Linked DNA regions of Xenopus tropicalis. The protein of the gene in region 2 purifies or fractionates together with the protein of the main gene of each other region. This does not show direct contact. Links are inferred from orthologs where the notes say so. Each region holds a gene or a part of one and is shown on either strand. Other genes may lie near its edges.

What was found. Proteins that work in one complex are often made in the same cells at the same time.
Region 1: the proteins of psma4 (region 2) and psme2 purify together in Homo sapiens (affinity purification with western blotting; 3 studies listed by BioGRID, with this or other methods). This does not show direct contact. The link is inferred for Xenopus tropicalis from reciprocal best matches to the Homo sapiens genes PSMA4 and PSME2.
Region 3: the proteins of psma4 (region 2) and psme4 purify together in Homo sapiens (affinity purification with mass spectrometry; 4 studies listed by BioGRID and IntAct, with this or other methods). This does not show direct contact. The link is inferred for Xenopus tropicalis from reciprocal best matches to the Homo sapiens genes PSMA4 and PSME4.

Annotation. Positions count from the first base shown.
Region 1 is NC_030677.2:139,414,568-139,419,010, reverse strand, and holds the start of psme2 (proteasome activator complex subunit 2), read right to left. Parts: upstream 2,911-4,443; 5' UTR 2,833-2,910; coding exon 2,785-2,832; intron 536-2,784; coding exon 503-535; intron 1-502. UniProt on the Homo sapiens protein: Implicated in immunoproteasome assembly and required for efficient antigen processing. The PA28 activator complex enhances the generation of class I binding peptides by altering the cleavage pattern of the proteasome.
Region 2 is NC_030680.2:86,380,486-86,384,728, reverse strand, and holds the start of psma4 (proteasome subunit alpha type-4), read right to left. Parts: upstream 2,808-4,243; 5' UTR 2,707-2,807; intron 2,635-2,706; exon of another isoform or gene 2,506-2,634; intron 148-2,505; 5' UTR 120-147; coding exon 117-119; intron 1-116. UniProt on the Homo sapiens protein: Component of the 20S core proteasome complex involved in the proteolytic degradation of most intracellular proteins. This complex plays numerous essential roles within the cell by associating with different regulatory particles.
Region 3 is NC_030681.2:23,695,990-23,700,288, forward strand, and holds the start of psme4 (proteasome activator complex subunit 4), read right to left. Parts: upstream 2,911-4,299; 5' UTR 2,757-2,910; coding exon 2,554-2,756; intron 1-2,553. UniProt on the Homo sapiens protein: Associated component of the proteasome that specifically recognizes acetylated histones and promotes ATP- and ubiquitin-independent degradation of core histones during spermatogenesis and DNA damage response.

The DNA of each region.
Region 1 (4,443 bases), on a different chromosome or scaffold from region 2:
CCATCTTACATTATTGCCAGGCATCTGTGGCTTCAGCTTGCACAGTAAAGTTTTCTAAATTGAATCTACTACACATATGTGAGGGTTGAGCACTACAGGTGTTCTGTTGGTTTTTCCATGCCAATTCATTGTTTTTCTAAAAATAACTATATTTACTTGGGGCTGCCTAATATATTGGTGAAATATTGTAAATGTGAAAAAATAATGTTGAATGATGTATGTATGTATTTATTTTTTCACCCATCTGGCATATCGTTCTATTGTAATGCAGGAATGTACTTAGGTAGGGATTGTCTGGTTTACCAGATCAAAGTCGCTGATATTGGTGCACTAATTTTTTTTAAGAAGATCACTATTGCAGCAATGCTGCATTCATCACACAAGAATCCTATGTAAGTTTACAAAGCATTTTTATATTGTTCTGTACATGCTTTTAAATGAAAGATGTGACTTTATCTTGACAGTGACAAGATATTAAAGAAGAATAAAAAAAAAAAATTACCTGACTGAATAGCGCTTCACGGAACCCATTAACCTGTAAGAAGAAAGAGAATGGATTTTTGAACATTTTTTGTAAACATACAAAAATGTCCTCAGATCTAGGGAGTGTATCCTGAGAGCCATAGCCCAGACTAATATATACTGCAACTTTTTCTTTGCTGCTTTTAATATTAGTTGGTACAGTGATGGTCACAAACATTTGTGCCAAACACCATATGTTAAGTAGGCATGCCTAGGTTTTGGGATGGTGAAGTGATTTGTGAAGTATACAGGATCTAGAGGAATGGTGCTTCCCCAAAAGACTTTATTACATAATTTAATAATACTCTGAAATGCACATGGTCCTTGCACTGTGGCAGATTTGGGTGAAATATTGACTATTGTATAGTGTAGTCTTCTGTAACACAGTAGCCAACTTGTAGCCAAAACCATTAAATTACAGTTTTAGAATAAGGGTTACATTGGCACTCTTATGCTTAAATCAGTGCTCTGGATTGGAAGTAGATTGGGAAGAGGTGTGTAAACATTAGTAACTCTCCACACATACAAGTAATTGAACTGTAGCAGTTCTTAACCCTTAAACTGAGGAGTTAGGCACCTATCACCTAACCTTACATTTTCTGTATGTATAGAACTATAAGCACACCTACTACATGAATAAGTGTATTTTTACAAAATAGACAGCAGAGGGACCTCTAGTTACAGAGATGCAGATATTTTTTCTCTGCTTAATCGTGTGAAAAGGTTTTCTCTTTTTACTCATTTGTGCTGATGACTCTGCAAGTTTTTCCACCATCTTGGATTGATTGTTTATTTCACATTACTCAAATAGCAGACTCATTTTGACTAAATTCATATATTGTTTTACAAAATGCAACTGATAAAGAAAAATGTGATCTCTGAAACAGAAGAAAAATCAGGCAAAATAAATTTTTTAATCAATTACATGCTTTTATATCTTCATATTTGCTCGATATTTGTGTGGTCAATGATATCTAATGGTCCATATTCAGAAACCTTTTTTTTATATTACAACTTATTTACGTAACTAGTGGGAGGTCCTATCAGATATCTATATATGTGTCTATTTGTTCAGTTGTAACATGATTCTTTTGCAACAGTAATTTTGAATCTGTGCAAGCAAGGACAAGGCTTGTTTCCAACTACAAGATATTTATAGAAACGACAACAAGGAAAGCTGGCTAATTTCTGGGCTTTTGTGCATCCCGGGGTCTGCCATCAAGAGGCTACCTAGCTCTGGGTTCAGCAAAATATTTAATGAGTAAATGTTAAGACAATTTATCTGCATGTGTAATTTACTAACACAAGTTTTACAGCAATCAAATAAGCTGTCTTTGTGGAACAAAATGTATTTTTGTAATACAATGTGTAAAGAGAATTTTTGGTATTAAGGGCAACTATCTCATAAGATAGAATGTTTCCTACTACACTACAGCTGCGGGCTGATGGAGCCCACACTTCAATTTGTGGAAACAAAAGTATCACCTGTATCCAGCCAAGTACTGTGGCTCAAGGGTTCTTTTAAAAATAAAATTGTATTTGGCATTAATATTAAATAGGTAGTTCATTTTAAAAATGAAATTGTATTGTAAGAAAATGTACAGAGGCTGCAAACCCTAGCAACCAAAGGTTTGCGTGTTCCATACATTGCGCCTTATTATATTCCATAATTTTTACCAATGTTTCGGCTCCTTTAAGATGCATGTATATTGGAGTACGGGCCACCTTTGTTGTATGTATTATATTTTTTGATCCTTGGCACTCAGCTTTAAGGAAGAGCAACTTTCAATGCAAATCATATTTAAAAATGTTATTTTATATATCTATATATATTATGCAGAAATAGAAGGTCTTTTATTGGCCACTTTTTTGTTCACTTTCAGTTTTGCACCTCAGTGCTGCAGCTTCTTTTCTAAAGTGTTCCTAGTTACAGGAAATTTTCTATTAAAAAATAATGAGAAGCAAAAAAGCAAATGCTCCTTTTAAAATTTTAGTGACTTTGTATATACACACATTTATACATTAGTGCAAGTGAACCTCAGAGTCCAATTCCAGTACTGTGAAATTCCCACACATAGTTGTGACATCACAACCCAACTTTAGAACCTTCTTCCTTCTTACTACCTTCGTATTGTTTTTTTGTATATGCCACATTTGCAGTAATAGGTTAAAAGCTTTTATATATCGACAGGGTACCCTTAAAAAGGCCTGCTGTACTAGCTTTACAGATCTAATAATATAAACCATGACATACACACTTACCTTCTCCTGGTTGTCCTGGGAAATTTTCAGACGAATCACTTTAGCCATAACTGTAGTTAAAGAGGGTCTTTCACCTTCCTCGGCCTCAGCTTCCCTTACTGTTTTGCTGTGTCTGTGTTGGGCCTCTATCACTCTGTTACTTTCAGTTTTACTTTAGCTGCTGCTTTATACAGTAGAGAGGGGAGGGGTTAGTGGCAATAAAAGGGAATTTCCATCAGCTTATAAACTGCACATTGGCAGATGCATTGCGATATAATTTTATTTTGTGAATAACGTGATGTTGATATGACTTAATAGCTTGTTTATTTTAAACCTATGGCCTCAGCAATCTAAAGTGAAAGAATATATTATAACTCTAATTACTTTGTAAAGTGTTTAACTACCTTGATTATTATTTCTGTTATTTTTTTTTGCTGCCTAAACATGGTCTACTATGGAGTAAAATAGGAGCTGGGTGCAGTGCACCCAAGGTTATTGGTAATATAATGTATGATCATGTTGGATATTAGTACAATTTGGCCATACATGGGGACAGCTGAATTACATTGATCCACCTAATCAGAACATAATGCAGAAATGGTTGCTATGCAGTTCCAGGTTAGATGATACCCCCATACATAACCCCAACTGAGCTGTCAGTTGGACAGTTTTTTTTCTCAATATTTTTTTTGACAGATTCAAGTTTACAATACAATGTGAATATATGGGCTCAAAGAGGCCTTCACAAAATAGTAAAAGTTGTTTAAGTATAAAAAACCACTAAAAATATATTAAATTTACCACTTCAAACCACACCCATTTTATCACAATGGTGGTAGTGCAGCAAAAACCAAAATGCTTGGTCCTCACTGTGGGGATATCAACAGTTATTCATATATGAAAGAATTATATTATGTCATATTAAGACACACTCAGAAATCCATATGCCTCCTCCTCCCCTGTGGATATCACAGCAACCCCCAGCAACATAATTACACACCTTAGGGACCATTTAATGGCTGTTTCCAACTACTAACAAACTCCCAGAACAAATCCCTCCCAGGTTCACCTCTCACAGGCAGCATAGGGCAGGCAGAGTATGGCACACACATGCAGCACTCTGCCTCCCTTATGCTGCCTGTGTGTGCCATACTCTGCCTGCCCTATGCTGCCTCTGTGGGCCATACTCAGCCTGCCCTATGCTGCCTGTGTGTGCCATACTCGGCCTGCCCTTAGCTGCCGGTGTGTTCCATACCCTCCCAACCCTATGCTGCCTATGTGCCATACCATACCTGCCCTATGCTGTCTGTGTGATGTAGCCTTTCCTTCTCTTTTAAGCACGAACGATGCATAAATGATTCCCTATGAAACATGGAATACTGCATGATTTTGGCTACACTCTATCTGGGCCTGTCAATGGAGCTACGGGGGTATGCACTTAACAGTGGATCCACTTTCCTCTGCCTGCAGATAATGCATGTGTAGGAAAGTGGACAATCCGCTTAGTGTACCCTTGCCCTTAAGAGGGAAATGACACAGTAAGTGAAGGAAGGGTTAGAGGTCATAACAGCTTGACTGCATGAGAAGGGTCCTATCACTAGCGGGCCTTGCAGTCTGACAAAGCTGGTAGAAATCCCACCTGGCAGGACATAAAGAGTAAGTGGCACATTAAGACAGCAC
Region 2 (4,243 bases):
AGGACTTTTGCATGTTACACAGAGAGTACAAACCATGAATTAATCCCATTCAGATTAACTGCATTTATACAAGTATACACATTGTATAAAACAGGAAAAAAAAAAAAAAGACTTACCATGTTGTATGATATTCACTTGTTTGATACTCTGCAAGACATACAAAATGACACCAGATTACTAGGAAAATAATAATAATAATTATTATATAATAGTAAGGAAGTCATAAGTACATACAGCTTTGGCACCTGTTATCAAGAATGCCCAGGACTACTAAAAAAATCATTTAAATATTGAATAAACACAGCAGGACATTTTTGGCTCAAATACGGATTAATAATATCTTAGTTGGGATCAAGAACAATGCACAGATATATTTTTACTAAGAAAATCATTTTTAAAAGAATTATTTGATTAAAATGGAGTCTATGACAGATGTCCATTTTGTAATTTGGAGCTTTTCTGGATAGCGGATTATTGGATAAGGTATCCAAGTACATTACATATGGTACTCTTATGTATGTACAGAAATATAATCCCATGTAAACTTTACGTGTAAATATGCTGATGGCATTATTAAAGGTCAACAGACACAAAGGGGGCCGATTCAAGTCCGAATTAAGAGTACGATTTGCGAAAATTCGCATTAAATAAAAAAATTTCTGCATTAACTTTGCCAAAAGTCGTGTTGTGTTTGTACGAAAATATTGCGGTACTATCTGATAGTCACGAAATTTTCATATCCGAACGATAGTAAATGGCGCGAAAACCTTTCTGACTTCTGAACCTTCAGTGCATGATTTTGGAAGCCTCCCATAGGACTCAATGGCACTCTGCAGCTCCAACCTGGCCCAAGGAAAGTCACGATACGGAAACGTGAATAAATCCGAAACTTTCGTACTCGGTGCAACAATACGATTTTGTCAAACATATTATCGAAAAATACGAAAAAGTCGCGGAAAATACACACAGTTCTAAAAGTTAGAAAAAATACAAATTTTTCCTATTCATAACCAATCGTACATTGGTAAATGGGCCCCTAAGTGGCATATCATTAATGGAAATGTTTTGTAGAGCAAAAACTATAGTAAACTATACTACATTAGGATAAGAATTTAAATTACATGCAGATTTACTTATTTTTTACTTATTTTGCCTAACACTGGAATTTTTTTGAACTGCCCACTCATCTTGTTTGCAAGTACCTTCCTCATTCAAATGAGCAAGTTTGCTTTGGAGAGTCAGGATTTGGACAGGTTTTATAATGTAAATGTGTTGAGCATAACAAACCAATAGAACAGAATAGTCCAGCCTAGTGCGTTTTTAAGGAAAGAGGAGTGCAGCCCCAAAGTCAGAAGTAAGCAATCACTGGAGGGGGTGGGGGCATAAAAATTGGCACCCTGCAGTGATCAACCCCTTTAGGGCTCTGGCACACGAGGAGATTTGTCGCCTGCATTTTTTCCCCCTGGCGCTTTGGCGACAAGTCATCCACGACAATACCCACGAAGAGATTTCATGCGAGTTGAGCTCCAGGCGATCTGCTACCCATGGTACACTCAACAGTTACCCCTCCCTCATGTATACTTAGGTTGCTCAGAAAAGGGTCTGTGTGCGATTTGAAACAGCAGGCGATTTGAAGTAGCCTCGTATGTTTTGACGCTGGCGATTTCCATTGATTTAGCATTGGCGACTTGTCGCCAAATCGCTCTTTTAATAATCGCTGGCGACAAATCTCCTCGTGTGCCAGAGCCCTTATTTTCCTTTACAGATAAGCAGATGTCTGTGCTGAAGAGGATTCATATATGCATCTGAAATCTAATTAGAAATCTTGCAAGAACCATACTCATTTATTTATGTGTATTCATTTCCAGTATTTCAGTACCAATTTAGATAACAAATAGTAACAGGATCTGTACCTTTTATGCAGTGAACCTCAATCAGGGGCAACACGTTGCTCACCAACCCCTTGGATGTTGCTCTCAGTGCCCCCAGGTAGTTATTTTTGAATTCCTGACTTGGGGGCAAGTTTTGGTTGAATAAAAACAAGATTTCCTACCAAATAAAGCCCCCTGTAAGCCATTGGTGTGCATAGAGGCTGCCTAATAGCCAATCTTAGCCCTTATTTGGCTCCTCCATGAACTTTTATAATTCTTGTGTTGCTCTCCAAGTCTTTTTATATTTGACTGCGGCTCACGAGTAAGGGTAAAGATACACAGAGCTACTAGTAGCAGCTACTTGTCATGGCTACTAAAATAGACAATGCTGATCATTTACTGATAATTGTCTCTACATGTGTTTTAGGAGAGGCAATTCTCAGTATTGTCTATGGCTGGATATTTTCTGGAGTTTAATACCTGTGAAAAAAAGTAGCTGCTACTAGTAGCTCCATGTGTTTTTACCCTAAGATTGGTTGGGGACCCCTACTTTTACGGTTTCCCAGCAAACACACAATCACAGCTACCTCTAAATAATCTTTCATTCCCATACTTTTTGTTAACTAAAATGCACCTTTTCGGCAATATTCATGCAGCGTCCCCCAGTCCTATTTGGAAGTAAGGACTAATGAAGAAGAAACTGAAAGTAAACGCAGTAAAGGAACATAGGCAATGTGCCCTGTCATCGCTCATTTCATGTCTACATCAGCGACACAAAGTTCCGGAGGGTCCCAAAACAACTGGAGTGAAAGAGGCCTCTATAACGTGCACTCACCGATTATCTTGTCAGTTTTAAAGACAAAAAACGGAGGAATAGGGTTCACCGAGCCGGCAAAATAGCGCAGTCACAGCACGCAAAGCTCCCCAATCATGGCCGCCAGCGCATGCTCAGTGAGTTGTGTTCCTCTGTACGTCACACGGATACGCATTAGCCGCAAAGCGCAGGGCCACTTACTGCCATATTTGATGTGGGCATTGCGCGTGAAAGGTGATTTAAGTTCGCTACAAAAATAATGTTTAGGGAAATGTTATGTTCCTTTGTTTACGTACACATGATACAGGTGAGGAAGTACTCTGTAGATAAATGTGTTTGCTTTGTGGCCAAGGTACATGTACATTACAGCAAAGGTTTATGTGTTCGCCCGCAGTGCGTTCTGCTTGACAGGCCTTCTTTGCTTGAACTGCGACTCCTGCAGCTCTGTTTGGGCAAAATGCGACTTTAAGGTTCTGCGGGGAAAGTGCTGATTTGTTTTACATGGTTTAAATTGTAGACATTTGGAAGGCGTATAATGGCTTTAACATCATGACGCAATATCATCTCTTAGTGAGTTCAACGTGCGCTTTTGTTTTATTGTTTTTTAAATGCATAAAAATCGAGCACGATAATAATAATAGCTGTGCTACTGAATGCGGGTGGGTACAACCAGGCACAATAAAACATGCCTCCCAACTGTCTCGATTTATATAGAACCTCCCGCTGTCCCACAATACAGGTTACATTTCCCGAATTGACCTGATTGGTCCAGTTGTTCCCTACACTCAGATCTTTCAGGCGTCACTCTCTCTAATCGCACTGCTCCTTTCACTTGTAAATCGCTTGAGCTCTGCTCCTGTGATGCCTCTTCCCTCCACATTCAAGGGGAAACTGAGGCTGCAGGAAAGAGATCTGAAATGTGAAGGAAGATTCACATGGTTGAAGGTGGAGGGAGAAATTATAAACACTAGTAATGAGTAATTGGCTTCTGTGAAAATTTTGCAAAACTACAGAAAAATTTGCAAAACGGAGAAACCGCTGGTAACGCACTAATTTTGATGGAAAAAAATTCGCTCATCACTAATAAACACTAAAGCAGGGGTAGGGAACCTATGGCTCGGGAGCCAGATGTGGCTCTTTTGATGGCTGCATCTGGCTCTCTGCCAAATCTTAAATAAAAAAAATAACAGGAGGCGTGGCCTGCGTATGGCGGATAGAAGACGTGTTCTAAGCCTTAGAACACGTCTTCTATCCGCCAAGCGCAGGCCACGCCCTCCTCTGCATCGCATCCAGCATCCGGCATCCTTGGGACCCACCCTACCTTGCCCCACAGCATCCGTGGCCAAACATATTGTATGGCTCTCACGGAATTACATTTTAAAATATGTGGTGTTTATGGCTCTCTCAGCCAAAAAGGTTCCCGACCCCTGCACTAAAGCATACCCCCCAACTGTCCCGCTTTCTGCAGCGCATCCCGCTGTCCCGGATAGTTCAATGAATGTCCCACATTTCCGTAATCTATTATGGAAATGCGGGACATTTATTGAACTACCCGGGA
Region 3 (4,299 bases), on a different chromosome or scaffold from region 2:
TGTACATCATGTGCAACTAAGGGAAGGAGTATACACACATACCAGTGGTACTCACGCTGGCTAACACCTGTGCCTACTATTGCAACGCGCATAAACTCACACTCACTACATCATGGTGCACTTACATCTCTCCCAGGGGCACAAGCGCCCGCTCACTCTCACAGCGGCACAAGCGCCCGCTCACACTCCCAGGGGCACAAGCGCCCGCTCACACTCCCAGGGGCACAAGCGCCCGCTCACACTCCCAGGGGCACAAGCGCCCGCTCACACTCCCAGGGGCACAAGCGCCCGCTCACTCTCCCAGGGGCACAAGCGCCCGCTCACTCTCCCAGGGGCACAAGCGCCCGCTCACTCTCCCAGGGGCACAAGCGCCCGCTCACTCTCCCAGGGCCACAAGCGCCCGCTCACTCTCCCAGGGCCACAAGCGCCAGCACTCACCCACTCAAAAGTGACCCCAGCACACCTTCATTACGAGTGAGCCCCAGTGAAAGAGCACAGCCTCAGCCACACACTCACTCACTGAGTGACACAAGTGCTCACTCACAGCCCCAGCCACACACTCACTCACTGAGTGACACAAGCGCTCACTCACAGCCCCAGCCACACACTCACTCACTGAGTGACACAAGTGCTCACTCACAGCCCCAGCCACACACTCACTCAGAGTGACACAAGCGCTCACTCACAGCCCCAGCCACACACTCACTCACTGAGTGACACAAGCGCTCACTCACAGCTCCAGCACAGACACTCACTCACTGAGTGACACAAGCGCTCACTCACAGCCCCAGCCACACACTCACTCACTGAGTGACACAAGCGCTCACTCACAGCCCCAGCACAGACACTCAATCACTGAGTGACACAAGCGCTCACTCACAGCTCCAGCACAGACACTCACTCACTGAGTGACACAAGCGCTCACTCACAGCTCCAGCACAGACACTCACTCACTGAGTGACACAAGCGCTCACTCACAGCTCCAGCACAGACACTCACTCACTGAGTGACACAAGCGCTCACTCGCAGCTCACAGACACTCACTCACTGAGTGACACAAGCGCTCACTCACAGCTCACAGACACTCACTCACTGAGTGACACAAGCGCTCACTCACAGCTCACAGACACTCACTCACTGAGTGACACAAGGGCTCACTCACAGCTCCAGCACAGACACTCACTCACTGAGTGACACAAGGGCTCACTCACAGCTCCAGCACAGACACTCACTCACTGAGTGACACAAGCGCACACTCACAGCCCCAGCACAGACACTCACTCACTGAGTGACACAAGCGCTCACTCACAGCTCCAGCACAGACACTCACTCACTGAGTGACACAAGCACTCACTTACAGCTCCAGCACAGACACTCACTCACTGAGTGACACAAGCGCTCACTCACAGCTCCAGCACAGACACTCACTCACAGCTCCAGCACAGACACTCACTCACAGAGTGACACAAGCGCTCACTCACAGCCCCAGCACAGACACTCACTCACTGAGTGACACAAGCGCTCACTCACAGCCCCAGCACAGACACTCACTCACTGAGTTACACAAGCGCTCACTCACAGCTCACAGACACTCACTCACTGAGTGACACAAGCGCTCACTCACAGCTCACAGACACTCACTCACTGAGTGACACAAGCGCTCACTCACAGCTCCAGCACAGACACTCACTCACTGAGTGACACAAGCGCTCACTCACAGCTCACAGACACTCACTCACTGAGTGATACAAGCGCTCACTCACAGCTCACAGACACTCACTCACTGAGTGATACAAGCGCTCACTCACAGCTCACAGACACTCACTCACTGAGTGACACAAGCGCTCACTCACAACTCCAGCACAGACACTCACTCACTGAGTGACACAAGCACTCACTGACAGCTCCAGCACAGACACTCACTCACTGAGTGACACAAGCGCTCACTCACAGCTCCAGCACAGACACTCACTCACTGAGTGACACAAGCGCTCACTCACAGCCCCAGCACAGACACTCACTCACTGAGTGACACAAGCGCTCACTCACAGCTCACAGACACTCACTCACTGAGTGACACAAGGGCTCACTCACAGCTCCAGCACAGACACTCACTCACTGAGTGACACAAGCGCACACTCACAGCTCCAGCACAGACACTCACTCACTGAGTGACACAAGCGCACACTCACAGCCCCAGCACAGACACTCACTCACTGAGTGACACAAGCGCTCACTCACAGCTCACAGACACTCACTCACTGAGTGACACAAGCGCTCACTCACAGCTCACAGACACTCACTCACTGAGTGACACAAGCGCTCACTCACAGCTCACAGACACTCACTCACTGAGTGACACAAGGGCTCACTCACAGCTCACAGACACTCACTCACTGAGTGACACAAGCGCTCACTCACAGCTCACAGACACTCACTCACTGAGTGACACAAGCGCTCACTCACAGCTCACAGACACTCACTCACTGAGTGACACAAGCGCTCACTCACAGACACTCACTCAGTGAGTATAATACCAGCAGTGAGACTCACGTAGTGAGTTTCCGAGTCCAGAAAAGCACTCCCGGCCAGAGTTCCCGAAGCTGCACTGCCCGGCCCAAACTGCCCTTGATTTGCGCCAGGAGCTCATTGGATTCCCGGTCCAGCCGATTTGCGTAGGGAAGTAGTAAGTTGTACACGATTTCCTTTTGGGGGGTAAATCCCAGCTCCTCGGCCCTGTCCTCTGCCGCTCCCATCTCCTTGTCCGTTTACTCTCCGGTTCTCTCCCCAACTCTCTCTCTCAGGCTGCCGGTGACGAAGCAACCAAAGACAGGGCGAACGCGTCACCGTGACTGCCTCAGCGCGTCACTTCCGCCCCTCTCTAAGAGCCTGTGTCACTAATGGGCGGGCTCTAGTTAGCGAGCGGGACAGGCTGGCGTTGGCGGACTTTGTTTCGTTCCCAGTGCTGAGATTAGGGATTCCTGTGAGGAATGCGGTGTGTTGGGGAATGGAGATTATGGCTCTTTACTTAGTTTTTATATTCCTTATAAGTGAGGTCCAGCCTGCAGCTCCCTCCCAGCTACAACTCTGCGCATCTCCCAGGCTGCATGTGTTGTGTATGTAAGCCCTCCACATAGGGCCCAGCACCTGTAACTTCAGTAGCATCTTCCTTACTCAGATATTGGCATGCATCTATTGTGCCCTTGGAAGAAATTATAATTGGTGTATATGACTTAATTGCAAGTAAATGGGCCCCTCAGCAAAATAAGTTTAGGGCCACTCATAATTTCAGGAATAATACGTGTATATAAAATAGATTATTGGCCAGTGCCTCACTCTCTCACTCTGGGAGTGTGTGCATGTATGACTGGTTATGTCTATGTTTCCTTCCATAGGATTTAATGGGAATCCCTTAGAAATGCTAGATATGTGAGGGAAACAGCTGAGTACAAATGTTTACCATCAAAGGCAAGACTATTCCCAGTTATTTGCTGTTCCATCAGCACAGATAGAAGTCAGGGGGGCTGCTGGCTAAATCCCTGGAACAGCACCATGTGTGCATATATGCACGAGCAAATGCGCTTAAGGCTGCACTGAAGCCGGGGGGAAGGAGATAATGGGCATGCACGCGGGGGGGGTAGGGCCTGGACTGGGCATAGGCAAATAAAGAGGTACATGACTAGTGCCCCCCACTGTTGCACCCTAGTTACGTGCCTATCCCTAGTTCCAGCCCTGCTGGGAGTCTCACCATGTGCCATTGGCCTTGAAGGTAAATTCTAATGGTGATGGCACACTAGGAGATTAGTTGCCTGCAGTGGCGACTAATTTGCTGGGCCCTACAGCAAATTCAAGGTGCCTGACCAAAATCTGCCGTCAGGGCTGAATCGGCAGAAGGAGGTAGAAATCCTATTGTTTCTACCTCCTTATCTGCTGTTTCAGCCCTGACTGTGTGTGGCGGATCTGACGATGTTTCGTGCGGCCGATGGTCGCATGAAACATCGTCAGATCGCCACGTGTATGGCCAGCTTTAGCCTTTCCTTGTCCTTTAAGGCCCAAAAATGTTGGTAAAATTGTTGAGCTATGCTATCAAGATATTTTGAAATTGGTCACTAATTAAGGCCTTGCTAGGCCCCCCTTCCAAGATTTTATCTCAGCCTTCTACAAATCATTGGTGCTGTAAGCGTGTCTATATCAAAAGGAAAGTTGTGAGGGTCCCCAGATGTTCTGACAGTTCTCTTGCTCTCCATGGGAAGGGATGTGCTGCTGGCAGCAGGTTCAATGTGGTACTGCAGGTCTAGT